Linked DNA regions of Stegostoma tigrinum. The protein of the gene in region 1 purifies or fractionates together with the protein of each later gene. This does not show direct contact. Links are inferred from orthologs where the notes say so. Each region holds a gene or a part of one and is shown on either strand. Other genes may lie near its edges. The genes, in order: hif1aa, hdac4, neuronal-specific septin-3-like and cul2.

Region 1 (7,821 bases):
CTTAACTTTTTCCAGTTTGGATGGCCAAGAGGCTTCTTTCCAGCCCTGTTAGCCCAAACATCTTTCAGTTCTGACTGTGTGAAAACTCATACATGAATTCTTACAGGTTGGAACCTTCGCATGTGAAAATTCTTCTAAGACAGAATTCGTTTCCTGAACTAAAGCCAGATTCTGAACAGAACTCAAAACAACAAGCCCTACCTAAACGCCCTTTAGAAAAAAAAGACTCCACTTTGTAAACACTTTAATTAACTCTCAGGTATCTAGTTAGGCACTTAGTTACATGCGTTCTTGAAAATTACATCTTCGTGTCTTTTCCAATGACTTTCGGACGTCTATTTAAGAAACATTTTAACCAAAACCAAAATCACATCAGCCTCAATTTTAAAAATTCATAAACAGTAATATATTGTACACCTGTATCACAGTAAGTAACAGTACAACTGCGATCCAAAATCATAAGTCAGGGAGAGAAACACAGAACATAGGAGCAGGAGGTGACCATTTGGCCCCTTGAGCCTGCTCTGCCATTTTTCACAATCATGGCTGTTCGTCCAACTCAACAGCCTAATTCTGCTTTCTCCCCGTAACACTTGATCCCATTTGCCCCAAGTGCTATCTCTCGTTGCTTCTTGAATACGTTCAGTGTTTTGGCATCAACTATTTTAATTCCACAGGCTCACCGCTCTTTGAGTGAAGAACTGTCTCCTCATCTCTGTCCTAAATGGTCTATCCTGAATCCTCAGATGGTGACCCCAGTTCTGGACAAATCCGTCATTGGGAACATCTACCATGTCCTCACCTCGTTCGTCTGAATTCCAGCAAAAACAATCCCAACCTAGTCAATCTTTCCTCATACATCAGACACACCATTCTTGGAATCAACCTGGTAAACCTTCGCTGCACTCCCTCGAGTGTAAAAGCATCCTTCCTCAAAAGGAGACCAAAACTGCACACAATATTCTGAGTGTGGCTTCACCAAGACCTGAATAACTGCAACAACACACCTGTTCCTGTACTGAAAAATCTCTTGCAATGAAGGCCAACATACCATTCAAACATTATTGATCCTAACTGGTCAGAATTGGCCTAAACTAGGGTCTCTATCGTTTGATGCATCCCTCATTCTCTTCACCCCCACCAGTGGTCGCTGTGCCTTAAACACCTGACCTCACCTCTCCACCCACAGACTCATGGAATTCCATCTCTAAGCCCTGCTACATCTTTTGAAAACAACAGTCATTAACCAAGGTTTAGTTTACTTGGGTATGGTAGCCATTTTGTCATCCACCTACATGAAAAACCCTGAATGTTTAAGACATGATAATAATTAATCAGAACAACTTGCACTTAAAGTATTTAGATAGGGTATGTTATTTTAAAATTGTTTATAGAATCAAGATTCAGCAACAACTTTATTCTGAAAGCATCCAATTACATTTGAAACTATAATGCATATTAAAAAAATACCAGATACATTGGCCTCAATTAGGTAGTCAGCAGCACTTCAGGCCACTTTACCTCAAGTTGCACTACCCATCCCACTCCAAATATGCAGCAAATCTTTGGTATGGTTGTTGCTTTTCCTGACAACGATTTAAAAATAGGATATCTTCATCTACAGTATCAGAGATGTAAGCAAGCATGTAAGCAACCAAAGGGATTGAGTATTCCCATGCAAATACAATCTCCAATGCTTTTAAATTTTCAAATATTGAGATGACTGACTGTTTATACAGCAAACCTTTTAGTTAGGTGGCACCCATAGGACTAGGCAAGTGTCGGGTGATAAAATATTCTGGATAATCATGACATGCACACAACTGCAGTAAATTCTGGCCAAGCAAAGGTTCCAGTATCAATATCCCTCAAAAAAGCCTACCAAAACATCACCACACCTCCTAAAATCCATGTAAAAATGCATGCTAAGTCAGAGAAATGTGAAGATGGGGACGTTTACATCACTGGTATAATTTATTTACAGCATAAATACTCATATCACAGTAGATCTCAGTACAGTATTTGTGAATTTTGCCAGTTAAAACAAAGTTGTATTTATTTGTACTCATTTTAACTGTTAGCCGGAAGAAAAAATATAAATGAAATAGCTATTACTTAAATTTTTGTCTAGAATGTCAATTTTTTTATTTCTCAGGAGCAATGAGAGAGTTTGAGTAGCCATAGGGTATAACATTTTTGTGGGTTTTTGACAGTAAGATGCACAATGCAAAACTGGAAATGTTCGTTAGTTCAAGTAATTCCCATTATTGTGTAGTGAGGAGGAGGAGGGGTGTTTCAACAACACGGCCTTTAGAAAAGAATCTCAGAAACTTTTGGGATTTCCATAGTTCAGTGGAATGAAGGCAACGGCGACTAATAGCTTCATTATCAGCACTGTCCCACAATCCAGCCAATAATACTGTAAACATTTGCAGCATTTCTCCACTTAGCATAAAATAAAATGATGTCGTGTTTGGAAATAAGTAGCTAGTACAGAGGCACAGTTTCAGTGAAATGAGACCTATGAAGCAAAAAAAAATTAACAAACGGCATGCCAAATCTTTCCTTCCATGTTGGGTGCAAAATAAATCTGTGGCAACTTATGGAAAAGCTACGTAAATGTTCTAAAGCTATTAGAGTTTGGGCACAAAGAAATTGCTGTGTATTTATACTTCATCTTTCAAACGTCCTCAGAACATTCCAAAGTGCTTCACAGCCAGTAAATTAGTTTAAATTGTTAGTCACTTATATAAAAATGCTACCTACTTTAAATTACTACAAATTACTCACCAGCATTAAGCAATTTTCTCATGCGCAAGTAGCTGATAGTTAGCCTCATGATAGACGCTTTATCGAGATGAGAAGTGACACTGTGAGGAAGAGGGAGTTCACGAGCCAGTTCATAGAAGACCTCCGACTCTTTGCCCCTTCGGAATCTCGCAGCATCACGAGACTTCTCCTTTCTTCTCTCGGAACTACCACTGCTGGTATTCAAAGTAGAACTGTAAGAAGCCATGTCAGCTAACAAGAATGCAACAAATAGCTTCACGTGCACCTTAAATTCAATTCCAGAACAGGGAACATATGGCAAATACTGCCAATAATCACACAAGGCACAAAACAACCTCAAACCCTGCTTAGGAAGTAACAGGAAAAATACCAAACCTTAACATTTTGCAGAGGGCAAAAAAAAATACAGTGATGTGTTTAAATAAACTTCAGATTGGCTGCATTGCGTATTGCTTGACGACTCCACAAAGATAAATCTTCAAAACAGAGTAACATAAATGAGCTCCTAAGACTTGACCGTTTTGATGCAGCATCTTTAACAAGTAAAGTCTTAAACTTTAGAGATTGCCCATGAAACACTGTTAAGAATCTTAACTCCGAATAGTACTCTGAACTGAAATGGTTATTCAACTTTTGGAATATACAATCTAATACAATATGAAAGAAAAGATAAACAGACAGACAAATATTTGATTAAATACTTCATTTTTATTTTACTCGCAGAAGGCAAATACAGAAGAAAGCTGTTCGTGGTACCATACTGTTATTTATAACAGAACTTCAGTCATTGAAGTCAAAACTGTCAGATTCAGGGATTGGGATTAGCCTGAAAATCTATTGTCAATTGAACTATTGAATGTTTTCCTAATTTTTCCCATTTTACAACACTCATCTCTCAGATCAATAAGCAACTCCTTGTTAAGAAAAACCATTATTTGAAAATTTTCTATCTCCTACGGCAGTCAATGAAACAAAATCAAGTGATTAAAAGGTATGTAGTTACCCTCAGCAAAGTCCATCAATTATTGTGGCTCAGCAGTCAGCCAGTCCTTCCAGGTCAGTAAGACAGCTTCTTCCAAGTACGCCTTTGGGCTAGAGCCTATTGTTTTAGCTGAGAGAGAGAATGTAGACACTCAACCTATATCCATGTGGATACATTTCATCCTTGCCAATGGACCCAACCCATTAATTTGCCAAAATACTTATGACCTGTTTCAAAGGTACAAATACACACACTTCCCTAAGTTCACTGGAAAGACAGCGGGAGACAGAGCCTGAGCTGATTTCTGCCATCCCAAGTTCAGAGAGCCCAACCAATTAATCAACAATTGACCAGGCCGGTGATCTTCCTGTCTTTGCACTGCTCGTCAAAAAAATGAACTCAATTATGAATTTAAAAAAAGATGTAGTCATGTATTCTAATAGTTTAAATTCAGTAAGTAAACTTTGATTTTTATTTCAACTGAAAAAAGTGATCACATTAACAAATTTAGATTCCCCAGGGTTTAGCGCTACATAGTGCTAAAGGCCTCTTCTTAACCGAGATTTTACATTCAATTTCCAGTAGCCTAAATAAAGGCATGCCAAAATCCATGTGGTTCGAGGAGCCGGGGGTAAGACAAGGCTAAGGATATTGCTGTGACAATTGCAATCCTTAATACCCACACTCACCACTAGATGACACTGTAACAAAACCAAAACAATATTTCTTTTGTGAGATCAAACATACTGAAAAGCAGCTAAAATGAAAAGTTTTAAAAATATCAATCCCAAATGAAAACCTTTTTTGAAAAACCTCAATCATGTACTCGGTTTATGGTTATTATTGTGAAAAACAACTGCAACAATTATAGTGGTATTCGAAAAGCAGATCATCAATATTGCATACTGAGCCACCTGCCTAACTTGAACAGCTGGATACTTTCTGAATACCAGACTAACATTTCAATTATACAGTTAGATTGTAACATTATTACAATATTTGCACTATTCAATCTTAAAAGAAACAAAGGCAAAGTTGGAGCAACACAAAGGAGAGAGTGTAAGGAGAGCATTACATACAAAGTTTCAGATCTCAAATGTTAACATTGTTTTCCTCTCTTGAAATGCTGCAACACCAGAGTATCTTTAGGTTTCCTTTACTATTTTTCTTTCCGATCAAAGGTTTCCGGGTCACAAAACTGAGTTACTTTGAAAATAATCCATAGCTTATTTAACGTGTACCAGTAACATTTTTTTAAAGCAATGAAGTAACATCAAATAAAATTCTCCTGTAGAATAATCTATATTTGCTGCAGATTCTTAAGAACAGAATTAAACAAATGCGCTCTTTCAGCCTGTTCCATAATTTAATGAGATCACAGATGACCTGCAGCACATCTCCATTCCCTGCCTTTGCCCAATACCCCTCATTATCTTTGGCTAACAAAATTGGCAACCTTAATCCATGTAATCTAGCATGAATTTTCATACAAGTTGCAAACTTCTACTACCTTGCATAGAAGTTGACTTCACTGACTTAACACAACTTTTAGATTGCACTCTCTCAAGTCCCAGGCTCCCTAACTGGTAGGGCAATCTGTATTAAACAACCTACCTTGAAAGCTGTGCTTACACTGCACAACTTCTTTTAAAAGAACAATGTGGATTGATTTAGAAATTGCCCAATGTCCCGAAGTTTACAAAACGCCCAAAAAATATCTGTGATCTGAACCTGCATCTTTGCCAAAAAACTCATCTAAGTGAGTTGGTGGCAAAGTGCTAATGTCACTGGAGCTTATTATTATTTGGATTACTATTCCAATCTAATGATCTGGGAACTCACGTTCAAAATCTTACTGTGGCAGATGGTGAAATTTGAGCTCAATAAACCTGGAATTAAAAATAGCTGTGTTAAATGGTGACCATAACAAAGTGTGGGGCTGGATGAACACAGCAGGCCAAGCAGCATCTGAGGAGCACAAAAGCTGACGTTCCGGGCCAAGACCCTTCATCAGAAAAGGGGGATGGGGAGAGGATTCTGAAATAAATAGGGAGAGAGGGGGAGGCAGACCGAAGATGGAGAGAAAAGAAGATAAGTGGAGAGGAGAGTATGGGTGGGGAGGTAGGGAGGGGATAAGTCAATCCGGGGAGGACGGACAGGTCAAGGGAGCAGGATGAGGTTAGTAGGTAGAAAGTGGAGGTGTGGCTTGAGGTGGGAGGAGGGGATAGGTGAGAGGAAGAACAGGTTAGGCAGGCAGGGCTGGTTTTGGGATGCAGTGGGGGGAGGGGAGATTTTGAAGCTGGTGAAATCCACATTGATACCATTGGGCTGCAGGGTTTCCAAGAGGAACATAGAACATAGAACATTACAGCACAGTACGAGCCCTTTGGCCCTCGATGTTGTGCCGACCTGTCATACCGATCTCAAGCCCATCTAACCTACACTATTCCATGTACGTCCATATGCTTGTCCAACGACGACTTAAATGTACCTAAAGTTGGCGAATCTACTACCGTTGCAGGCAAAGCGTTCCATTTCCTTACTACTCTGAGTAAATAAACTACCTCTGACATCTGTCCCATATCTTTCACCCCTCAATTTAAAGCTATGCCCCCTCGTGCTCGCTGTCACCATCCTAGGAAAAAGGCTCTCCCTATCCACCCTATCTAACCCTCTGATTATTTTATATGTCTCAATTAAGTCACCTCTCAACCTTCTTCTAACGAAAACAGCCTCAAGTCCCTCAGCCTTTCCTCGTAAGACCTTCCCTCCGTACCAGGCAACATCCTAGTAAATCTCCCCTGCACCCTTTCCAAAGCTTCCACATCCTTCTTATAAGTGAGTTATGAGAATATGAGTTGCTGTTCCTGCAACCTACGAGTGGCATCATTATGGCACTGCAGGAGGCCCAGGATGGACATGTAGACTAAGGAATGGGAAGGGGAGTTGAAATGGTTCGCGACTGGGAGGTGCAGTTGTTTACTGTGAACTGAGTGTAGGTGTTCTACAAAGCGGATGACAAAATGGTGACCATGTTGATGGTTGTAAACACAAACTTCTTTTCAGAAGGATGTGTGTCATCTGGCTTACACATGACACCAGATCTACATCAATGCTATTTTTTCCAAGCTAAATTGAGTCAAGTTGCAAGGCACTCTGTTCCAGGGCTATTAGACAGAGGCAATAAAAACAGTCCTAGCTATGGATGCTCAAATCAACAAACAAAATTTAAAAATGTGTCTCCTTGGCCAGTGAACTCTCTCTCTCTACCAAATTTTGTTGAAATCTACCGCGGAGTTTTTGTGAAAAAAAAAAATGTCATTGGTGGACTTAACAGCATTCAAACTTTGCTACCACTCAGGTCAAAACAGGTGAGGTGTTTGACACCAGTTCGACCACCTGAAATATTTACTCTCCAGCACTGACAGCAGTGTGTACTACCTACAAGTTGCAGTTCAGCATCTTCTAAAGGCTACTTTGACAGCACTTTCCAAAACTGCAACTTTTATTCTGCAGTTGGTGAATGGACAAGGGTGAGACGGAGGAAGTAGCTCTTTCGTGTCGTTGTGGCTACTGATTCATATGGCTGATCCAGTTCAGTTTCTGATCAGTGGTAACCTGCAGGATGTTGAATGGCAAATTTGGCATTGGTAATGCCATTAAATATCATGGAGAGATGGCCAATATCTGACAGTCAGATGGGAAATAACATTCCTGCCTCACATCAGCCCAAGCCTGGATATATTTAAAGGGTAGTGAAAACTGTTGGTCCAGTTCTCAAAATTTGTGTGTTCAAATTGACACAGAAAGCGACATTTTTTCTTACATGATCTTTTGCTCATTACTTTAATCGATCTATTCATTTCCAAATTTATACTTCTAGTATAAATGTCCATCGTCCTGCTCGTAGCTCCAGGTGCTTATCGGATTTACTTTAGACAGCTAAGAATGTATCTTCTACCACAAACGTAGGCAGTGCACCTGAAGTTCCCAACCACCCGCTGCACAAAAACACTTTCATGTTGCAGTTGGGTCTTTTGTCAAACACC
Region 2 (6,847 bases), on another chromosome or scaffold:
TGAGGCGAGAGTGACAGCTGTCGACATTGTGGCTGCATTCAACTAAGTATGACGTCAAGAAGTCCCAGCAAAACTGGAAATAATGGGTAATCTCACTACTGGTTGGAGTTATACCTGGCACAAAGGAAGATGGCTGAGGCTGTCGCAAGTCAGTCATCTGAGCTCTGGGCATCTCTGCAGGAGTTGCACAAGATAGTGCCCTAGGCCTAACCATCAATCATCGCTTCATCAATAACCTTCCCTCCATCATGAGGCCAGAAGTGGTGATGTTGCCAACAACTAGATTATGTTCAGCACTATTCATAATTGCTCGGCTCCAGAAGGAGTCCATGTTTTAATGCAACGAGATCTAGACAAGTGGCAAGTAACATTTACACCACATAAATGCCAGGCAATGACCAACTCACCACTGCCCCTTGACATTCAATTGTGCTACCATCCCCAACTATCAACACCCTGGGGGTTACATCAACTAGAAACGCAACTGGACTTGCTACAAAACATGGTGGCTACAAAAATAGGTCATAGTCCAGGAATACTAGTGAGTAATTCACCTCCTGCTTCACCAAAACCTATGCACCACCTACAAGGTACAAGTCAGGAGTCTGAAAGAGTACTAGCCATTTGCTTAGTTAGGTGCAGCTCCAACAACACTCAAGAAAAGCTTGACACCGTCCAGAAAAAGCCACCTGTTTGATTGACACTACATCTACTAGTATCCACTCCCTCCACCACGGATGCTCAGTAGCAGCGGTGTGTTCTGTTTACGAGATACCCTGCAAAAATTCAAAGATTCTTGGGCAGCATTTTCCAAATTCACGACTGCTCATCTACAAGGACAACGGCAGAAGATAGATGGGAACACCACTACTTCCAAGTTCTCCTTCAAGCCACTTGCCATCCTAATTAAAACCCTGGAATTCCTGACTTGGAAATACACTGCTGTTCTTTCACTCTCTTTGGGTCAAAATACTGGAATCCCCTCCCCAAGGGCATGGTGCTCAACCCACAGCAGATCGACTGCAGCGTTTCTGTAAGGCAGCTCGATACCAGCTTCTCAAAGTTAATTGGGGACGGGGAATAAATTATGGCCAACCAGCAACGTCCCATGAGTGAAAAAGGAACACTTCGGAATGAACAAAAACACAGCTAAGTAGCCAACAGTATCAATTCTTCATTGTAAAATAGTTTCCATTCTGGGGGTTGGCAACATCTAGAAGGTAGTTCGTGACTTGATTTTATTTGGTAAATGAATGTCTCAATTAAAAATTTGGTCTTACCAGTACTGGGCGTGTGATTCACTCTTGAAGGGGTCAGCAACTCAATCGACTGATCTCGACCGGAAAGTCCATCTGAAATTGAAAAGGATTCAGTCGCAATTACAGTCTGCAGTATCTGTTGCAATCCAGGCAGTTTTGTTTCTAACAGCGCGGGGTGCCGGGGTAGGGACAAAAATCACTCTCCAGAATAGTACTTTTAACTGATTGTTTCTTTTACACAAAGTTTACATAGACCGCACGCCTACCTAGGCATGGAGCCAATCTTCAAATCATAAACAATGGAGCCCTTTCGGAATAAATAATATTTCATTTCTTTAAATTGTCAGAATTTCACGATGTTTTCCAAGTTGTATCCTAATATGCATTTGTAATTGACAAAGTGACTGAAAACACAATATCAACCGTTCGCCACAGACGTACGTACTGGGGAAGCAGAGAAAGATAGGCATTTCATTTTACATGTGATTTACCAACAATGTGGCTTGCTGTTAACAGAAACCGAACCCTGGGAGTGGGAGCTAAAAATAGCCTGAACATTGCAGGAGATTAAAATGCATAAACTCAAGAGGGACGCAGTATGTCAGGCCTCAATGGCCAGTGAGAAACAACTCTGTTTATGGTCAGGAAACGTCAGATTGAAAGATGAAATCGAGAGAATAACATTTATTTCAAATCGCCTTACATACAGGAGTCGTACACTATTTAACTCCTGCATCTGTTACACGCACATATAATGGGCCATCTTACCCTATTCTGCATTCTCTGCTCGATGGGTACAGATTTATGACAACCGTTTTTACAGCAAGATTAGGCTTTCGTTTTAAAATTAAATTTTTGTGAACCTTTCTGGCATTGGACTGACTTTCAGATTCCTTTCAGCTTCACACTAATGCAAAAGAAACAATTATCAGTAGTTCAACTTGTTTTGGAATTCGCCTCTGTTCGATTGTCAGATCTCCAGTTTCACTTCGCTCTTCACACATTTAACTCTTTGGCGAAAGAGGTGCTACAGTTTACTTGCCGTTTTTAAAACAAATTTCGTCTCGTCGGAAGGCCATCAAAACTCTAGTTATACAAAAATGTAATATAACAACCGAAGTGGCATTACAATACATTAAGCGTAAATCAGATAGAAACAGAGGGAAAAAAAATTGGCTTCATTTCCATGACTTGGCCCAACGAGGGAAGTTGTTCGACTCTTTTCGGAACAGCCAGGCAATGGTAATACTTTTTTTGGTATGCAAGCCACCGTCTACTGCATATTCAAGGCCACACAAAAATATCTAACAATCAAAGTATGAGGACCGGCTTGGAGAAGCATTGCACGTACCATTTACAGTGACTCCTATACAGTACAGGCGACTTGGAAAATTTCTGCATTGTAACTCCTTGCATAAAATCCAATCAACTGCTTATCTACTGCGACACCTGAGTAAGTAACGCCGCTTCTTTTAAAATATGAAACACTGAAAAGAATGAATATCTCCTCACCCCCCGAGTTTGTTCTGACAGTTTTCACCAATGCATTGTAAAAAGACAGAAAGCACCTCCAGCAGCAGGCTATAATGACGCAATCAGCAAGGAAATGACCCGATTTCATTCAATTCTTACGAACTGAATAAGTTATTGTATATTCCGCAAGCAAAGGAGCACTATTCAATGTGGAATCGCCAAAGTCAAGCTGCGTCGCATATTATTTACATTGAAAGCGATAGAAAGCGACTTGCTGAACCCAATCAGCTTTCATGTTCCATTCCCCAGCCAAAATCGAAAAGCACAGGGAGTTCACGAAGTCCTATCCATATTATGCATTAGTGTACCTATTCCCCCTCTATTTTTTGCGATTTTGGAATTCCACAAAATCCCTCAAAAATAAAAACTAAGTAGCAAATTAAGCCTTTCTTCGGCAACAAAATATTGCTGATCGAATGAAATGGGATTTTCATTTCGCTCCTGATGTGCCCAAATTTTGTTACATAACTTCCTTATAAACATGCGTGCACTACTGGCAACCGGCAGGTCAAACCATAGTTCATAGTGGTAGTTGAACTAGATGGCCGTGAGAATGGGTACAAACCCCCAATCTCAGAGATTCCCTGTGCCGAGGAAGGTCTTTCCACTTTGCTATTGTCAAGTTGTCTGCAGTTATTAGGAGAATATAAAAGGGACCTATACTCTGTTGAATACGTATGTTGCTAAGATGTCCGCCGTCAACATGAGCACATTGCAAATTGCGCGAACTAGTTTACTCCGCATATATCATAAGCAAATTTTATGTAGGAAACCCACTGGGGGGAAAACATTATGCATAAGTTAAGACAGTGAAAGTAATTGCGAGCCAAAGTAACAACAGCCTAATATTAATTATTAGTTTCGTTATAAATTTAAACGTGAGCCAATTTATAAAATCATTACACAAGAACATATGGTATTTGTAGATGAAGTAGCCATATTTATTTCTTAAGTTGCCATGAAGGGTATTTATATTCAATATGGCAGCTCATGACAATAAAACATTAATAGCCGCAATTCTCAATTCATTAAAATACTTAATCTAAACTGATAGCAATTACTGATCGACATTGTCAATCGAGTAGCAATTCTACAAGATAACAAAGTTACATAACAATAAATACTACTTCATTATAAATTTTAAGTAAAAGAATACCCCAAAGCACTTCACAAATTCAAAAAGAAATTGAACAGCAAAGCTGGGGAAGAAGTTAGGGGAGGACAGATAGCTTGGTCAAATGACATTTTGAGGAGATGAAAGAAAATTTCACAGAAGAGAAGTCAGGGTCACTGTGGCCTTTGCGTTTAATAGCTGGACAAAGCAGGGATTTACAGACAGGAATGTCAAGACGACACCACTGACTTGGGAAAGGAGAACATTGCAGATGTGAGGTTGAACATAGCAATAATTTGATGAGTAGGAAATTTTAAATTTTAATGCATTGAAGATGTAGATCAGAGAATACATAAAATATTGTTTTTCTTTACATTTCAAAATCATTGTTCTAATAGTTTAGTAATTTATAAAGTAAAGGAAAGAGATGCATACCCTTTGGAATATGACTACCGAAACTAGGGATTATTTTAATATTGCTGTACACCAAGATTTGTTATCAACTACAGTTAACAGGAGAAAAGGTATTGTTACAATGCCAGAAATACTTCAAAATTAACTTGGTATAAATTGACTAGTAATTAGTTGCAAGTACGTCATTTTATTTACAAAAAATAATTCTCATAAATCCAATTGCAACAAACTTGAAGCCTATCCAAAAGGAAATGGTGTTATACTGGAGAAAAACAAAGAAAAACTGATGATTTGACAAGTTGTTAAACCAGCATTCTTCAAAGGTTCAACAAATTTTATTTTATGACCAGACTACAAAGAAAGATCAAACTTCCATTTAATGCACTAATAGGAGGTATTCCTTACAGAGAAATTATCAATTCTTTAAATTTATCTCTACCTGGTTCTGCTAATCTTGGCTATTTCCGAGCCTAATCTTCATTGATCTTTGTGAATGTGAAACAATACATGAGTCGACAGAAGGCATTCCAATTTCTGTGTTATTATCCTCTTCATTTTAACATAAATAGTACACAATCGGTCTTAAGACCATAAGACATAGGAGCGGAAGTAAGGCCATTTGGCCCAACGAGTCCACTCCGCCATTTAAATCATGGCTGATGGGCATTTCAATGCAACTTCCCTGCACTCTCCCAATAGCCCTTGATTCCTTGTGAGATCAAGAATTTGTTGATCCCTGCCTTGAAGGCATCCAACGTCCCGGCCGCTGCTGCACTCCGTGGCAATGAATTCCACAAGCCCACCACTCTCAGGCTGAAGAAATGTCGTCTCATTTCAGTTTTAAATTTACCCCCTCTAATTCTAAGGCTGTGCCCACGGGTCCTAGTCTCCGCACCTAATGGAAACAACTTTCCAGCGTCCACCTTTTCTAAGCCATACATTACTTTGTAAGTTTCTATTAGATCTCCCCTCAACCTTCTAAACTCTAATGAATACAATCCCAGGATCCTTAGCCGTTCATCATATGTTAAACCTACCATTCCAGGGATCATTTGTGTGAATCACCACTGGACACGCTCCAGGGCCAGTATGTCCTTTCTGAGGTGCGGGGCCCAAAATTGGACACTGTATTCTAAATGGGGCTTCATGAATATGTACTACCACTAATCCATTTAAAAATCTGTGCACTACCATCCCCTCAGCTAAAATAACCAAAAATTGTAAATTAGTATTATTGCTGTAAGTGTTCTTTCTTTCTTCTGGAGTTTAACAGATTGACTGAAAAACAATGGTAACAAGCTTACTGCAATCAACAGACAGTGTAAATAAATGTTTGCTTTGTTAGATATCTCAGTAAGCAGCAAGTAACTCACCTTCCTGACTCCCCAGTGTTTTTCTACCACCACCATTAGGTACAAGTCTGGAGTGTGATGGAACACTCTCCACTTGCCTAGATCGTACAGCTCCAAATCATTCAAGAAGCTTGATACCGTCCAGGACAAAGCAGTCTGCTTGACTAACACCAGATCCACAGAAAATGACTCCCTCCACCACCGATGCATAGTTATTAGCAGTGTTTACCATCTACAAGATGCACTGTCAAAAATTTACCCAAACTCCTTAGACAGCAGCACCTTCCGAACATGACCTAGAAGGATAAGGGCAGCAGATACAAAGGAACTCCTTGAACTGCGAGCTCCTCTCCATGCCACTCACCATCCTAAAGTGGATATATTGCCATTCGTTCAGTGGCACTGGGTCAAGATCCTCGAGTCCCCACTATTAAAAACTGAGGGCATATCTAGATAAAAGATGGATGGCAGTAGCTAATTCCCATATTCTAAGGATTGGCCAAAAACTGTTAGCCCAGCCAGCAAAGTTCACCTTCTCTGAATGAAGTTTTTTAAAAAAACTATTCAAGCTCAGGACACAGCAGATACTCTTTTAAAAAATCCAAGCAGATTCTGTTCTCCTAGAGTTGACCAAAAGTCCAAATTTCTCAAATCATCAAATTCTTGGCGGTTTTGTAATGTAGCACTTATGATGGGGACAGCACAATCCACCTCCAGAGTTAAATCAAAACATTGCTCAGTTCTCAATAAAATAATGATACAAAAGCATGCCAAAAATATTCAATTGTACAAATATACAATAGGTAATTTTATTTTCACTGGTGATCTGCATTAACATTTAAACTCTCTTCTTGCTGTTAAGGTTCATTTTGAGATTAATTTAAGATTATTTTAAAAACATTGCCATGGCTTAATTAACAAGATTTAACTTACCTTATTCGGATGAAAATTTAAAACAAACAGTCTATCTACTTAAGAGAGTTGGTGAGGAATAAAATCTGTAGTCAAACAACATGTTTGGTGTGCAAATATCTTAGACAAATGTCTGAATTTGACATGCATAATTTGGCAAATGAAACAAAACATGCTGCACATTCATGTCAAATTTATTGCAATTGAAAGGAAATCACAACTTTTATAAATGTACTTTCATAATGAGAATTAAAATATGATGT
Region 3 (7,745 bases), on another chromosome or scaffold:
GATAGGGGAGATGATCTACTTTAAAACCATCATGTGAGCTTTGGTCAGTTTTTCTGGAAATATAAATGAGTAACAGGAAGTTTCTTCTTGGTTTGTAACTTTGAAAATAATTAAAAAGTGAGCTCATTATTGTGGGATCCATAAACGTAAGTTTAAAAGTAATTTATTTCTACAATATGCAATGAATAGACAAAAAGCTCTGTAAAATGTTAACTAAAATAGGTAATGACTAAACATTCATATCAGTTTTCCGTTTGGTGTTTGATGACTAATTGTAAAGTCTGTCAACATTACCATGCCCATTCCAGTTTGAGCAAGAAGCTTTTTTAAACAACTATGCAGCAGCTGTATAGCAGGACATTGATCTGAGCCAAAATGTATATTTCCATGGTTGTAAATTTGTTTTGTTAAGTAAATAAAGGAAGCAAGATGTCATTTTGGTATTATTAGCAAAAAGCTCTCATTGGTAGAGTTTGACAGATTTGTTCTACTTTGCTTTCTTAAGGCAGTGCATTTTCTGCTTTTCTGTCAACTTTGTTTTTTTTTCTAGTTGCTCAGACAGGATCGGAGCTGTACCCTGCTTGTGCAGTAACATCAGGTTTTTCTCTTAATATAAACATTTAATGCATTCCAGACAGTGTTTCTGGATATGCGTACATAACATGAAACACATTCCCCACTTTCTGTTTCTCTTATTTTAATCAGCTCTTTGGAATAAGGCTGACTGACTACGCATCTGTCTCTGGTAAAAGTTACTACATTTTTCTTTTAAAAACACTTCAAGTGGGCACTACCTATACAACTTTTTTAGATGCTGTGTTTTTTTTTATTTAGCACATTCTGTACACTTGCAACATAAATCTGAAGCATGTCTGGATTTCTTGGCTCGGTAACGTCAGTTTGATAATTATCTAAATTTATTGTGCATGCTGCTTCACCTTTTAGATATATTCAATTGGATATTCCCAAGGTATTATCATCAATTGAGAGAGAGTTTTCTTTTGAGTCTCCTTTGGTTTATGTTGTTCCAATGCATTACTGTTTTAGGCACTCTCTACCATCTCCCCTGCAACCCCTCCCCCCACCCTCCATAAAGAAACCTTCCTGCATTTTTGCAATTGAGTGAATCAAAGTCCTGATTTTTAATAGATATCTTGTTAAATTTTTCAGTAAAACTTCAAGGTCACTATTTTCTTAATGTAAATTTTGTCACCTTGCACTATTTTTAGGTTCTGTCACAAACCATGTACCTTAAAATCACACAGGGACATTTGTATCTATAAATAAAGATTTTTGTTCCACTCGAGTATATCAAATTAAAAGTTATTTTGCAGCATGTCAAACTTATTTTCCCAGTGTAACTTTAAAGGTATTCCAAGAAACCTATTGGCTCTGATATTCTTAATTGTTTGCCAGAAAGACATCAGGCAATTATGATTTCTTTGGCAGCCAGCTACAAATATAAGGCCAGAAGGTTTTATCCCATACACCAAAATTCCTCATCTTGTCTGGTTTCCAGTTTTACGGAGTATAGGATGAAAAATGTATGATATATGTACTGGCAGCATTCAACAGGCTGTTGTGACAAAGTTGCATTTCTGTTACAAAAAGGACCTCACGTTTCCACCTATTTGAAATAATTATCTCAATAATTTATAATTGTGCTTAAGATATTGCATGTCAAAATGTGGAGCCTTCAACAAGGCTAAAATGAAGTCTCTTGAGACCAGACACTATTAATACCTATAGTTTGACATTTTCCAAACTCATTGACTATTGCAGACTCCTAATCGTACACACTCTGAATTATCTGCTGTCTTTTAACACAACAAGCTGTTGAGATGAACTTGATCAGACAAGTCCTCTTTTATCCCATAAATAGTTTCCCCTAAAGAGTTTTACCTACATGTGAGTTAGACTTGATGCAATATTTCTTTATCTGTTTAAACCTATCCCAGGAATTCAGGATACAATTGAAAGGGTCTTCCTATTATTCAACAAGCACTTACAGAATTTAATCATTGATGTATGAAAAACCATGGTATGTCTTTCCATTGCATATACGGCTTGGATATGTGTCAAGTTAATCTTAAACCCAACTTTTATGTAATCCAGCTGTTCTATGAACTGAAAATAGTAAACCTCACATTTGGCACCAGCGTTCCTCAGCTAGGAAAATACAGGGGTGGCTCAGAGTACCACACTTCCCATTTCTGATTTGTTATCTACCTCTATCTCAAACTGGAAAGTAAATCTCTGAGCTGTGATCTCATCCATAGTTGAAGAGCTTGTTGCTAATCACTCCCGTAAAAGAATGACACTACAGTGAGTTGAGGGTGATTTCTGGCATCATAGCACTCTTCCCAGGGAAGAGGAATTGCTTTCATGGCAAAAGAAAATTTAAGGAGCAAGACTTTTTAGTAATCATGCGTTGAAAGTATGTTTCCTGTCTACTACTTCACTGTCTTTATTTTTTAAAAAAAATTGAAATGGATGTTTAATAGGCACACCATCCATTGATTTCAATATTGAAATTTAGCTCATTGTTTCATTTCCCTTTTTGTGCACGATAATAAAACAGGAGCCTAAAATTCTTCATCTTAATAAAAATACCATACGAATATATGTTTTACTTCAATTGGAAATCAAGCATCATCAAACAAAGTCCATTCGTATCAAACGTTTTTTAATTCCAACAATGTCTGAATATCTACATAATTGCTACAGGAGCAGGTCACAGGCCGGGAACTCTGTGGCCTTTGACTCTTCTCGGGTCTCCCCTCAAAGTTTAACAGCGTTGCCAGAAAGGAATGTGTTCTTCGTTAACTGGGAAGAGAGCATCTCAAACAAGTCTAGACACTCAACAGCATTTGAAACAAAGGTCTCAACTTGATTGGCTCCCCATGATCTTACCCCATCATGGGGCACTGTCACTGCAGGATTTACCATTTGATGCAATGCAAAGTTCAATTAGCACTTTCCAAAATCAAAATGTTTTGTCACATGGCAGGACTGAGGAAACAGTTGTGAATGAGTGGAAATAACATGACATCCAAGTCACACACTAAGTTAACATGGATATATATTATTGCTCCTTTATTGTTGGGTAAAATTCCTGGAATATACTATCTAATAGTACTGCAAGGCTACCTTCACCATATGGACTGCCATGATTCAAGGAAGCAGATCACTGCTAATGTAGATTGCCTTTTCATTGATGTTGATCCACATAACACATCACAGTGATTCAGGTTCTTGTTGAAAAAGTTGTCTTTTAAGTTTATTAACAAACACAAACAATTTACACCACTTCATTATAACACACTAAGACACATGGTCTCCATCCTGTTACTAATGTTACTGTACATTTCATAGACATAAGTGCTAGGAGCAGGAGGAGGCAACTCAGCATCCTTTTCTCCCCACCACCCCTCCCAAACCTGCTCTGACCAACATACTGCACTGGCTCCACTGAAAATGCAGTGTGACTGAAGGTCAGGTGGATGCCTTTTATATTCAATGATGTAATGTAACTGTATTGAAGGTACATACCTTTCTGGTCTAGAATCCATGCAGGATACTCTGTCCAGTTTCTTCTCTCTCTAAATAAAACCTTTTCCCTTAAATGTGTCCAGGAATGTATGTGGATACTATCTATGTACATTCAAATAATGCCTTAGTGAATGTGCAACATGGCCAGATTTAGCTTTACACAGTTATCATGGATTTGGTGTAAATTCATTCTGCAGTGTGCAGTCTGTCATCATGGATGTATATTGTTGTTGACTGGCATAATCCTCCAAGTGAATGTGAAGTTGCTAAGTTGAGGGAAGGTGCGGCAAATATTTTTAGATGTGATGCCTAAAATTGTCACTTTTTTCTTAAATTAAGAAGTGAAATATGCAGTGAACAATCCAACAACGAGTGTTGCTTGATTTGGATTTCTCACTAAAATAACGTCAAGCTGAACTGTGAACTGCAAGGATAGGACAGGGACTTGATACCTGTGATCAGTGCTGTGAATGTCTGTGGTCCTCAATTTTTTTCTAAGAAAGTGCTGCATCATTTCCTGGAGTCTGGAAAAATACTAGAGAAGTGTCAAAGACCAAGAAAAACTGTTCCACTCAGAAAATGTCCAGTGCACACCTGAGGAAGTTAGCAGGACAATTCAAGAATTCAGCATGATGAAACAAATCATTGTTTGTCTTGAATCTATTCTTTCCTGTGTACGTTAGGGGGTTGATTACCAAATCCCATAAGGTATTTGACTTGCAAAGCAGTGGACTCGATAATACAGATAATTACTATGCAATGTTTATATTGAGCTGAACGTCAGATCATGGAATTGATTTTATTTTGGGGCGGGGGGGGAAGTTGTAAACATGGGAAAAATATCTGCCAATATCATTAAGTTGGAGACGCCATTGACACAAAAAAAACTTTTAGCCCATTGCATGTGTGCCTGTCAAAAACAGCCAGAGGTAATTCTGCTATAACATGTTTCATTAATGTGAATTAGTTGTAACATGATTGAATACCAGACACCATTTGGATAATGCAAACATTCTCCAGTGCAGGTCAATTTCCCTATATTGCGCTTTTCTGTAGCGTAAGGTCACATGAGCACAATTATCACGTTTATAGGAGAACCACCTGCACTTACCTTTTCAAATCCTAATTTTCAGCACTCAGCATCATGTGCACATCTTAAATACTACCGAACTGTTACGATGGTTTCTGCCTCTACGACTCTTCTAGACGGTGAGTTCCAGATTGTCCACACCCCCGGGGTGTGGAAAAAATATTTCTGACATCCCTTCTAAAGCTCTTGCCTTTACTTTACTCCAAGCCTCCTGATCATTGATTCCTCTACAATGTCTATTGGCCTCATAATTTTATACATCTCAATCCTGCCCTCCCTCAATCTCCTGTGCTCCAAGGAAAACAACACTTTCTGTCCAAATTTTCAGGTATCTGTCCTTTTGAAGTGAAAGCTTTTGGTTTTGACTTCACATACTTGTGAGACATTCATCCACCAGATGAACGCAATGATCTCCAAATATCATACCCATCCCACAGGCCTTGAATATGCCTGTTATCGCTGTATGTGACTAGCAGGCTTAAGCTACAACATGCTTTCAAGGCACAGGTAGGTAATGTGTAGTCATAGATGTCACACTGAGACAGGGTGAGTCGACGACAAGCTCAATAATAATATGTGCTTGGTTTTAGATTTATACAGCACTAAAAATAAACTTTGTTCTAGATTTACTTTGGAGTGGATCCTGAGTTGGACATGAATTCAGAAAGTGAACTTGTGTCTTTAAAAAGGTTTAACATACCTTAAAACACCTTTAACACCTTAAAAAGGTTGGAGACCCCAACTCTAGGTGATTGGGCTATAATGTATAGGTAATGCAATGTCTTGTAGAAGATAGCTCGTGTATTTCATAAAATACTGCACGCTGTCTTGGTCAGTGAGAAAACCCACACTTCATATTATTGACTGCTGTAATAGTTGCACCAGAGACCATCAATTGCTAGCCTGCTGCTACTGTATTGAACTTTCTTCGTTCTTTGAGTTATCCACCAATGGTGTCATTGTTGTTTGTACAGAAAGGTGTGGAGTCAACGATTGTTCCCATAACCCTTCATTTAAGTTAGCTTTGGTGAAATCACATTGTGTACATCTGTGTAGACATCTGCCTGTGAATGTGCCAATCATTGCACCTCGTACCGGACGATATGGCCTCAACTTGAGCCTGTGTACCCTGAAATTAACCTTAACTTTAAGCTGGTTTATTTTGAAAGTCATTTTTCCTAAAGTGAACTTCACACTTTTTAAAACTTCAGTGCCCAAAAGAAGAATAACTTTTGTTACCTGACATTCCTTCAGTTATATGCACTCAGCTTGATCACCATGCCAGATAATAGACTGATGGTGAACTGAGAGGTGAGAAAGGGCACAAGGGATAACCAAGTCCTCATCCTCAGCAAGCCTTCATGGCATAGGCTGTACAGTTAAACCTGTGATGCTGAGAACTTCTAATTCCATGGATCCTCAGAGATGTGAGGGTCCTTGGTCCCTGCCAGTTTTGTTCTGCTGTCACCCAACATGTACAATCCTGCCTCACAGAAGGACAAAATTGTTGTCATTGTTGCATTGTGCTTTGATACATTCAGGTTTTCAGCTATGGCAATGCATTAAAGCAATGAGAAGTAAATATAAGCCTTATGGAATTGGTAGTTCTGATTGTGAAATAAAGTTTTTCAGTATAACGTGAGCCCTGAGATCCAGGGATGATTAATTTGTGAATGATGACAGTGTAAGAGATGTTGATCATCTACATGAGGTCATTAGAGCTTTTGTGGCACTGTTCCTGGGCCCTTTGGAATAGATTGTGGTGAGTGACTTTCCTGACCACATGCTGCTATTCACTTCGGAGAATGAGCCTTGAGCCCACGCCCTACCCCCAGAACCCCTGCAAAGCTCCACCATTAATACCACAAGTGCCAAATCCATCACATTTAGGATCTGCCTCTGCACTGCAGTTTAGTTTTTCATCTTCTAAATTACATTAGAATTTAATGCAGGTGCCTTTTTAAAAGTGCAAGATGCCTTTAAGAATTTGTGGGTCAATTTCAGCAGTTGGTATCTGAACAAAGACGATCTCTCCCTCATGGTGAGAGCAGACACTACCATCAGTATGCTGATGTAGGAAATAGCTTGGGACCAGCTTGATCATATTCTATTGATAAGGTAGGTATGCCAAATGGATTAGCTACCTACCTCATTTGAACCATAGAGAGAGAAAGAAGTCATGATTCATGCCCTCCAGGCCCTCCCAACTCCTTGCACCCAAAAGCTAGAAGTAATTAAATAGGAGATAAACTTCTAATCCTTAACCTACATTGAACCAGCACAATTTTTAGTAACTGATGTAAAATGAAATTTTGTTTATTTGCTTGTTCTACCTTCTATGTTCATAATGCTTCTTCTTACATTCTTTTGGCTAGAGCCTTGTGCAGTTTTGCTTACACAGCTGGAAATGGATTTATGATATGAATACTTTTTTGAATAATATCTAGCACAAACTCTGTAGGATGACATGAGAGTGACAGCCCTTGATGGCAAGGTCATGTGTGACTTAGTGTGAAATCAGGAGGCCCTAGCAAAACTGGAATGAATTGGAACCAGGCTAAGGACCAGAATTCGACCTGCAGTTTGAGAGGGAGACTCTCTGTTGACTGAAGTCATGCTTCACACAAAGGAAGATGATTGCATTTGTTGGAGATTAATCATCTCCGTTTCAGTCTGTCTTTGCAAGAGATTGTTAGGATAATATCCTCAGCCAGAATATCTTCAGCTACTTCATGAGTTCAGAGTGGGAATGTTCACTGAATCAGAATATCCTTTTATTGTCACATGTACTGCATTGTAGAAGTACAGTGAAAAGCTTTTCACAACATCTGCCTCTTGCAGTACCATCCTGGGTACAAGCACCTAGGCATACATCTTGGATACATAAGAGGAATAAAAAGTAGTTGCATTACTTTTACAGTGTTTAAAAATAAGGTGTGCAGCAGAAATCCATCAAGACTCCTCATTCAACAAATTCACAACTTCTATTATTTAGAAGGCCAAGGGCAACAGGTACATGGAAACTTCAGCAGTTGCAAGATCTGCATCAAACTATTCACCAACCTGATATGGAAATATAACTCTTCTCCTGTTACTAGTCGAA
Region 4 (8,037 bases), on another chromosome or scaffold:
GTGGGAACGGGGGGGGATGAGGGGGAACGGGGGGGGATGAGGGGGAACGGGGGGGGATGAGGGGGAACGGGGGGATGAGGGGGGAATATGAGGGGGGGGATGAGGGGGGAATATGAGGGGGGGGATGAGGGGGACCGGGGGTGGATGAGGGGGAACGGCGGGGGGATGAGGGGGAACGGGGGGAGGGGATGAGGGGGAACGGGGGGAGGGGATGAGGGGGAACGGGGGGATGAGGGGGAACGGGGGGAGGGGATGAGGGGGAAGGGGGGAGGGGATGAGGGGGAACGGGGGGGGATGGGGAGGGAACGGGGGGGGATGGGGAGGGAACGGGGAGGGATGGGGAGGGGACGAGGGGGGATGGGGAGGGGACGAGGGGGGATGGGGAGGGGACGAGGGGGGATGGGGAGGGGATGAGGGGGAACGGGGGGGTTGAGGGGGAACGGGGGGAGGGGATGAGAGGGAACGGGGGGGATGAGGGGGAACGGGGGGGGATGAGGGGGAACGGGGGGATGAGGGGGAACGGGGGGGATGACGGGGAACGGGGGGGATGACGGGGAACGGGGGGGATGACGGGGAACGGGGGGGATGAGGGGGGGATGAGGGGGAACGGGGGGGATGAGGCGGAACGGGGGGAGGTGATGAGGGGGAACGGGGGGAGGGGATGAGGGGGAACGGGGGGGGATGAGGGGGAACTGGGGGGGAGATGAGGGGGAACGGGGGGGGATATGAGGGGGAACGGGGGGGGATATGAGGGGGAACGGGGGGGGATATGAGGGGGAACGGGGGGGGATATGAGGGGGAACTGGGGGGGAGATGAGGGGGAACGGGGGGGGAGATGAGGGGGAACGGGGGGGGATGAGGGGGAACGGGGGGGGATGAGGGGGAACGGGGGGGGGATGAGGGGGAACGGGGGGGGAAACGGGGGGGGAAACGGGGGGGGGGAAACGGGGGGGGAAACGGGGGGGGAAACGGGGGGGGGGAAACGGGGGGGGGGGAAACGGGGGGGGGGGAAACGGGGGGGGGGGAAACGGGGGGGGGAGAAACGGGGGGGGGAAACGGGGGGGGGAAACGGGGGGGGAAACGGGGGGGGGGAGAAACGGGGGGGGAAATGGGGGGGGGAACGGGGGGGGGAACAACGGGGGGGGGGAACGGGGGGGGGGAACGGGGAAAACGGGGGGGGGGAACGGGGGGGGAAAACGGGGGGGGGGAAAACGGGGGGGGGAAAACGGGGGGGGGGGGAACGGGGGGGGGGGGAACGGGGGGGGGAGAACACGGGGGGGGGGAACACGGGGGGGGGGAACACGGGGGGGGGAGAACACGGGGGGGGGAGAACACGGGGGGGGGAGAACACGGGGGGGGGGAGAACACGGGGGGGGGAGAACACGGGGGGGGGGAACACGGGGGGGGGGAACACGGGGGGGGGAACACGGGGGGGGGGAACACGGGGGGGGGGAACACGGGGGGGGGGACACGGGGGGGGGGGACACGGGGGGGGGGACACGGGGGGGGGAACACGGGGGGGGGAACACGGGGGGGGGGAACACGGGGGGGGGAACACGGGGGGGGGGAACACGGGGGGGGGGGAACACGGGGGGGGGGGAACACGGGGGGGGGGGAACACGGGGGGGGGGAACACGGGGGGGGGGGGAACACGGGGGGGGGGGAACACGGGGGGGGGGAACACGGGGGGGGGGAACACGGGGGGGGGGAACACGGGGGGGGGAACACGGGGGGGGGGAACGGGGGGGGGAACACGGGGGGGGGGAACACGGGGGGGGGGGAACACGGGGGGGGGGGAACACGGGGGGGGGAACACGGGGGGGGAACGGGGGGGGGACGGGGGGGGGACGGGGGGGGGACGGGGGGGGGACGGGGAGGGGGAACGGGGGGGGTGGATGAGGGGGAACGGGGGGGTGGATGAGGGGGAACGGGGGGGGTGGATGAGGGGGAACGGGGGGGAGATGAGGGGGAACGGGGGGGATGAGGGGGAACGGGGGGGGATGAGGGGGAACGGGGGGGGGATGAGGGGGAACGGGGGGGGGATGAGGGGGAACGGGGGGGGGATGAGGGGGAACGGGGGGGGATGAGGGGGAACGGGGGGGGGGATGAGGGGGAACGGGGGGGGGATGAGGCGGAACGGGGGGGGGATGAGGGGGAACGGGGGGGATGAGGGGGAACGGGGGGGGATGAGGGGGAACGGGGGGGGATGAGGGGGAACGGGGGGGGGATGAGGGGGAACGGGGGGGGGATGAGGGGGAACGGGGGGGGGATGAGGGGGAACGGGGGGGGGAACGTGGGGGGGGGAAGGGGGGGAACGTGGGGGGGGGGGAAGGGGGGGAACGTGGGGGGGGGGAAGGGGGGGAACGTGGGGGGGGGGGGAAGGGGGGGAACGTGGGGGGGGGGGGAAGGGGGGGAACGTGGGGGGGGGGGAAGGGGGGGGGAGGGTGTGCAGGTGAGAGTTGGGGCAGAGGAGGGCGGGTAAAGTGACATGATGTTTAATTCTCAGCTGTTTGCTCCCGACCCCTGAAGCTTCTTTCCACAGCCCAGCCCTGGCCTGGCCCGGCCCCGGGGCGCCTCCCGTGCCCTTCAACGAGACACTGGCCCTGGACACAGGCTTTGAAACCTCCTACAACAGCCGGCACCCCCGCCGCGGCCTCTCCGCTCAGGCCCAGCCCGAGAGCAACCCGAAGGCGCCGAGTCACCGTTAAACTGACACCGGGGGCCGACAGGCCGCATCCTCCCCCTCCCCGGCAGGGCCAGGACGGCCTGGGGCCCAGGCAGACAGCCGGCTACCCGTTCACAAAAACGCCGACCGTGTCCCGCACCGAGCTCCTCACCGTCCGAGCCCGGCCTCCAACTGATCGTCTTCGCTGAATCCACGGCGGCCGCTCGGCTCCGGGGCTGGGCTGTTCCCAGCGGCGTCTCTCTCAGTCTCAGTGTGAGTGTGTGCGGCAACCGCGGCTCCCGGACTGACACACACGGAGAGAGAGAGAGAGCGACCCCTGTCCGCCTGGCAATCCGGCTCACACTCACTCACAAACACTCAATCCGGATCACACTCACTCACACACACTCAATCCGGATCACACTCACTCACACACACTCAATCCGGCTCACACTCACTCACAAACACTCAATCCGGATCACACTCACTCACACACACTCAATCCGGATCACACTCACTCACAAACACTCAATCCGGCTCACACTCACTCACAAACACTCAATCCGGATCACACTCACTCACACACACTCAATCCGGCTCACACTCACTCACAAACACTCAATCCGGATCACACTCACTCACACACACTCAATCCGGCTCACACTCACTCACAAACACTCAATCCGGATCACACTCACTCACACACACTCAATCCGGATCACACACACACACACACTCAATCCGGCTCACACTCACACTCAATCCGGATCACACTCACTCACTCATTCACACACTCAATCCGGATCAGACTCACTCACTCATTCACACACTCAATCCGGATCGCACTCATTTACTCAATCTGGATCACACTCACTCAATCCGGATCACACTCACTCACTCACACACTCAACACGGATCACACTCACTCACTCAATCCGGATCACACTCACTCAATCCGGATTGCAGTCACTCACTCACTCAATCCGGATCATACTCACACTCAATCCGGTTCACACTCACTCACTCACTCACACACTCAATCCGGATCACACTCACTCAATCCGGATTGCAGTCACTCACTCACTCAATCCGGATCACACTCACTCAGTCAATCCGGATCACACTCACACTCAATCCGGTTCACACTCACTCACTCACTCACACACTCAATCCGGCTCACACTCACACACACTCAATCCGGATCACACTCACTCACTCAATCCGGATCTCACACACACTCAATCCGGATCACACTCACTCACTCATTCACACACTCAATCCGGATCTCTCTCACTCACTCACTCAATCCGGATCGCACTCACTCAGTCATTCACTCACTCAATCCGGATCGCACTCACTCAGTCATTCACACACTCAATCCAGATCACACGCACTCACTCATTCTCACACTCAATCCGGATCACACTCACTCACTCACACACTCAATCGCAATCAAACTCACACGCTCAATCCCAATCAAACTCACACACTCAATCCAGATCACACTCACTCACTCAAACACTCAATCTGGATCACACTCACTCACTCATTCACACACTCAATCCCGATCACACTCACACTCACTCAATCAATCAATCCAGATCACATTCACTCAATCACACTCAATCCAGATCACACTCACTCACTCACTCAATCCGGATTACACTCACTCACTCAAACACTCAATCCGGATCACACGCACTGACACACTCAATCCGGATCACACTCACTCACTCATTCACACACTCAGTCCCGATCACACTCACTCACACACGCAATCTGGATCACTCTCACAAACTCACACACTCAATCCGGATCACACTCACTCACTCACACACTCAATCCGGATCACGCACACTCAATCTGGATCCGGATCACATTCACTCACTCATTCACACCCTCAATCCCGATCACACTCACTCACACACTCAATCCGGATCGCACTCACTCAATTTGGATCACACTCACTCAAACACTCAATCCGGATCACACTCACTCACACACTCAATCTCAATCAAACTCACTCACTCAATCCGGATCACACTCACTCACTCACTCAATCCGGATCGCACTCACTCAGTCACTCAATCTGGATCACACTCACTCACTCACTCAAACACTCAATCCGGATCACACTCACTTACTCACTCAATCCGGATCACACTCACTCACACACTCAATCCAGATCTCACTCACTCACTCACACACTCAATCCCAATCAAACTCACTCACTCAATCCAGATCACACTCACTCACACACTCAATCCAGATCACACTCACTCACTCACTCACACACTCAATCCCAATCAAACTCACTCACTCAATCCGGATCACACTCACTCACACACTCAATCCGGATCACACTCACTCACTCACACGCTCAATCCAGATCACACTCACTCACTCACTCACACACTCAATCCCAATCAAACTCACTCACTCAATCCGGATCACACTCACTCACACACTCAATCCGGATCACACTCACTCACTCACACACTCAATCTCAATCAAACTCACTCACCAACTCACTCACTCACACACTCAATCCGGATCACACTCACTCACACACCCAATCCGGATCACACTCACTCACTCACTCACAGACTCAATCTCAATCAAACTCAATCCGGATCACGCACACTCAATCTGGATCCGGATCACATTCACTCACTCATTCACACCCTCAATCCCGATCACACTCACTCACACACTCAATCCGGATCGCACTCACTCAATTTGGATCACACTCACTCAAACACTCAATCCGGATCACACTCACTCACACACTCAATCTCAATCAAACTCACTCACTCAATCCGGATCACACTCACTCACTCACTCAATCCGGATCGCACTCACTCAGTCACTCAATCTGGATCACACTCACTCACTCACTCAAACACTCAATCCGGATCACACTCACTTACTCACTCAATCCGGATCACACTCACTCACACACTCAATCCAGATCTCACTCACTCACTCACACACTCAATCCCAATCAAACTCACTCACTCAATCCAGATCACACTCACTCACACACTCAATCCAGATCACACTCACTCACTCACTCACACACTCAATCCCAATCAAACTCACTCACTCAATCCGGATCACACTCACTCACACACTCAATCCGGATCACACTCACTCACTCACACGCACAATCCAGATCACACTCACTCACTCACTCACACACTCAATCCCAATCAAACTCACTCACTCAATCCGGATCACACTCACTCACACACTCAATCCGGATCACACTCACTCACTCACACACTCAATCTCAATCAAACTCACTCACCAACTCACTCACTCACACACTCAATCCGGATCACACTCACTCACACACCCAATCCGGATCACACTCACTCACTCACTCACAGACTCAATCTCAATCAAACTCACTCACCAACTCACTCACTCACACGCCCAATCCAGATCACGACATGCTCAATCTGGATCACACTCACTCACACACTCAATCCGGATCACACTAACTCACTCACTCAATCCGGATCACACTCACACTCAATCTGGTTCTCACTCACTCACTCACTCAATCTGGATCACACTCATTCACACACTCAATCCAGATCACACTCACTCACTCACACACACTGAATCCGGATCACACTCACTCACTCACTCACACGCTCAATCCGGATCACACTCACTCACACACCCAATCCGGATCACACTCACTCACTCACTCACTCACACACTCAATCTCAATCAAACTCACTCACTCAATCCGGATCACACTCACTCACTCACTCACACACTCAATCCGGATCACACTCACTCACACACCCAATCCGGATCACACTCACTCACTCACTCACACACTCAATCTCAATCAAACTCACTCACTCAATCCGGATCACACTCACTCACTCACTCACACACTCAATCCAGATCAGACTCACTCACACACTCAATCCCGATCACACTCACTCACTCACACGCTCAATCCAGATCACACTGACTCACTCACTCAATCTGGATCACACTCACTCACACACTCAATCCAGATCACACTCACTCACTCACTCACACACTCAATCCCAATGAAACTCACTCACTCAATCCGAATCACACTCACTCACACGCTCAATCCAGATCACACTCACTCACTCACACGTTCAATCTGGATCACACTCACTCACTCACACACACTCAATCCCAATCAAACTCACTCACTCAATCAGGATCACACTCACTCACACGCTCAATCCGGATCACACTCACTCAAACACTCAATTTGGATCACACTCACTCACACACTCAATCCAAATCAACCTCACTCACTCAATCCGGATCACACTCACTCACTCACATGCTCAATCCAGCTCACACTCACACACTCAATCCGGATCACACTCACGCACTCATTCACACACTCAATCCCGATCTCTCTCTCTCACTCACTCACTCACTCACTCACCCACCCACACACTCACTCAGTCCGGATCACACTCACTCACTCATTCACACCCTCAATCCTGATCACACTCACTCACACACTCAATCCGGATCGCACTCACTCACACACTCAATCCAGATCGCACTCACTCACTCAAATACTCAATCCGGATCACACTCACTCACTCAATCCGGATCACACTCACACTCAATCCGGATCACACTCACTCACACACTCAATCCGGATCACACTCACTCACTCACACACTCAATCCCAATCAAACTCACTCACTCAATCCGGATCACACTCACTCACACACTCAATCCGGATCACACTCACTCACACACTCAATCCCAATCAAACTCACTCACTCAATCTGGATCACACTCACTCACTCACTCAATCCGGATCGCACTCACTCAATCCGGATCACACTCACTCACTCACTCAAACACTCAATCCGGATCTCACTCACTCACTCAATCCGGATCACACTCACTCACACACTCAACCCCAATCAAACTCACTCACTCAATCCGGATCACACTCACTCACTCACTCTCACACTCAATCCAGATCTCACTCACTCAAACACTCGATCTGGATCACACTCACTCACTCAATCCGGATCACACTGACTCACACACTCAATCCCAATCAAACTCACTCACTCAATCCGGATCACACTCACTCACTCACTCACACGCCCAATCCAGATCACACTCACTCACTCACATGCTCAATCCGGATCACACTCACTCATACACTCAATCCGGATCACACTCACTCACTCAATCCGGATCACACTCACACTCAATCTGGTTCACACTCACTCACTCAATCCGGATCACACTCACTCAATCCAGATCACACTCACTCACACACTCAATCCGGATCACACTCACTCACTCACTCACACACCCAATCCGGATCACACTCA

The links.
Region 2: the proteins of hif1aa (region 1) and hdac4 purify together in Homo sapiens (affinity purification with western blotting; 4 studies listed by BioGRID and IntAct, with this or other methods). This does not show direct contact. The link is inferred for Stegostoma tigrinum from reciprocal best matches to the Homo sapiens genes HIF1A and HDAC4.
Region 3: the proteins of hif1aa (region 1) and neuronal-specific septin-3-like purify together in Homo sapiens (affinity purification with western blotting; 4 studies listed by BioGRID and IntAct, with this or other methods). This does not show direct contact. The link is inferred for Stegostoma tigrinum from reciprocal best matches to the Homo sapiens genes HIF1A and SEPTIN9.
Region 4: the proteins of hif1aa (region 1) and cul2 purify together in Homo sapiens (affinity purification with western blotting; 7 studies listed by BioGRID and IntAct, with this or other methods). This does not show direct contact. The link is inferred for Stegostoma tigrinum from reciprocal best matches to the Homo sapiens genes HIF1A and CUL2.

What each region holds. Positions count from the first base shown.
Region 1 is NC_081363.1:29,394,062-29,401,882, forward strand, and holds the start of hif1aa (hypoxia inducible factor 1 subunit alpha a), read right to left. Parts: upstream 3,017-7,821; coding exon 2,791-3,016; intron 1-2,790.
Region 2 is NC_081360.1:21,568,446-21,575,292, forward strand, and holds the start of hdac4 (histone deacetylase 4), read right to left. Parts: upstream 3,010-6,847; 5' UTR 2,881-3,009; coding exon 2,772-2,880; intron 2,728-2,771; exon of another isoform or gene 1,948-2,727; intron 1,745-1,947; exon of another isoform or gene 1,730-1,744; coding exon of another isoform or gene 1,705-1,729; intron 1,353-1,704; coding exon 1,281-1,352; intron 1-1,280. UniProt on the Homo sapiens protein: Responsible for the deacetylation of lysine residues on the N-terminal part of the core histones (H2A, H2B, H3 and H4).
Region 3 is NC_081375.1:33,918,703-33,926,447, reverse strand, and holds the start of neuronal-specific septin-3-like, read left to right. Parts: upstream 1-4,706; 5' UTR 4,707-4,730; coding exon 4,731-4,761; intron 4,762-7,745.
Region 4 is NC_081355.1:130,397,790-130,405,826, forward strand, and holds the start of cul2 (cullin-2), read right to left. Parts: upstream 3,040-8,037; 5' UTR 2,838-3,039; intron 1-2,837.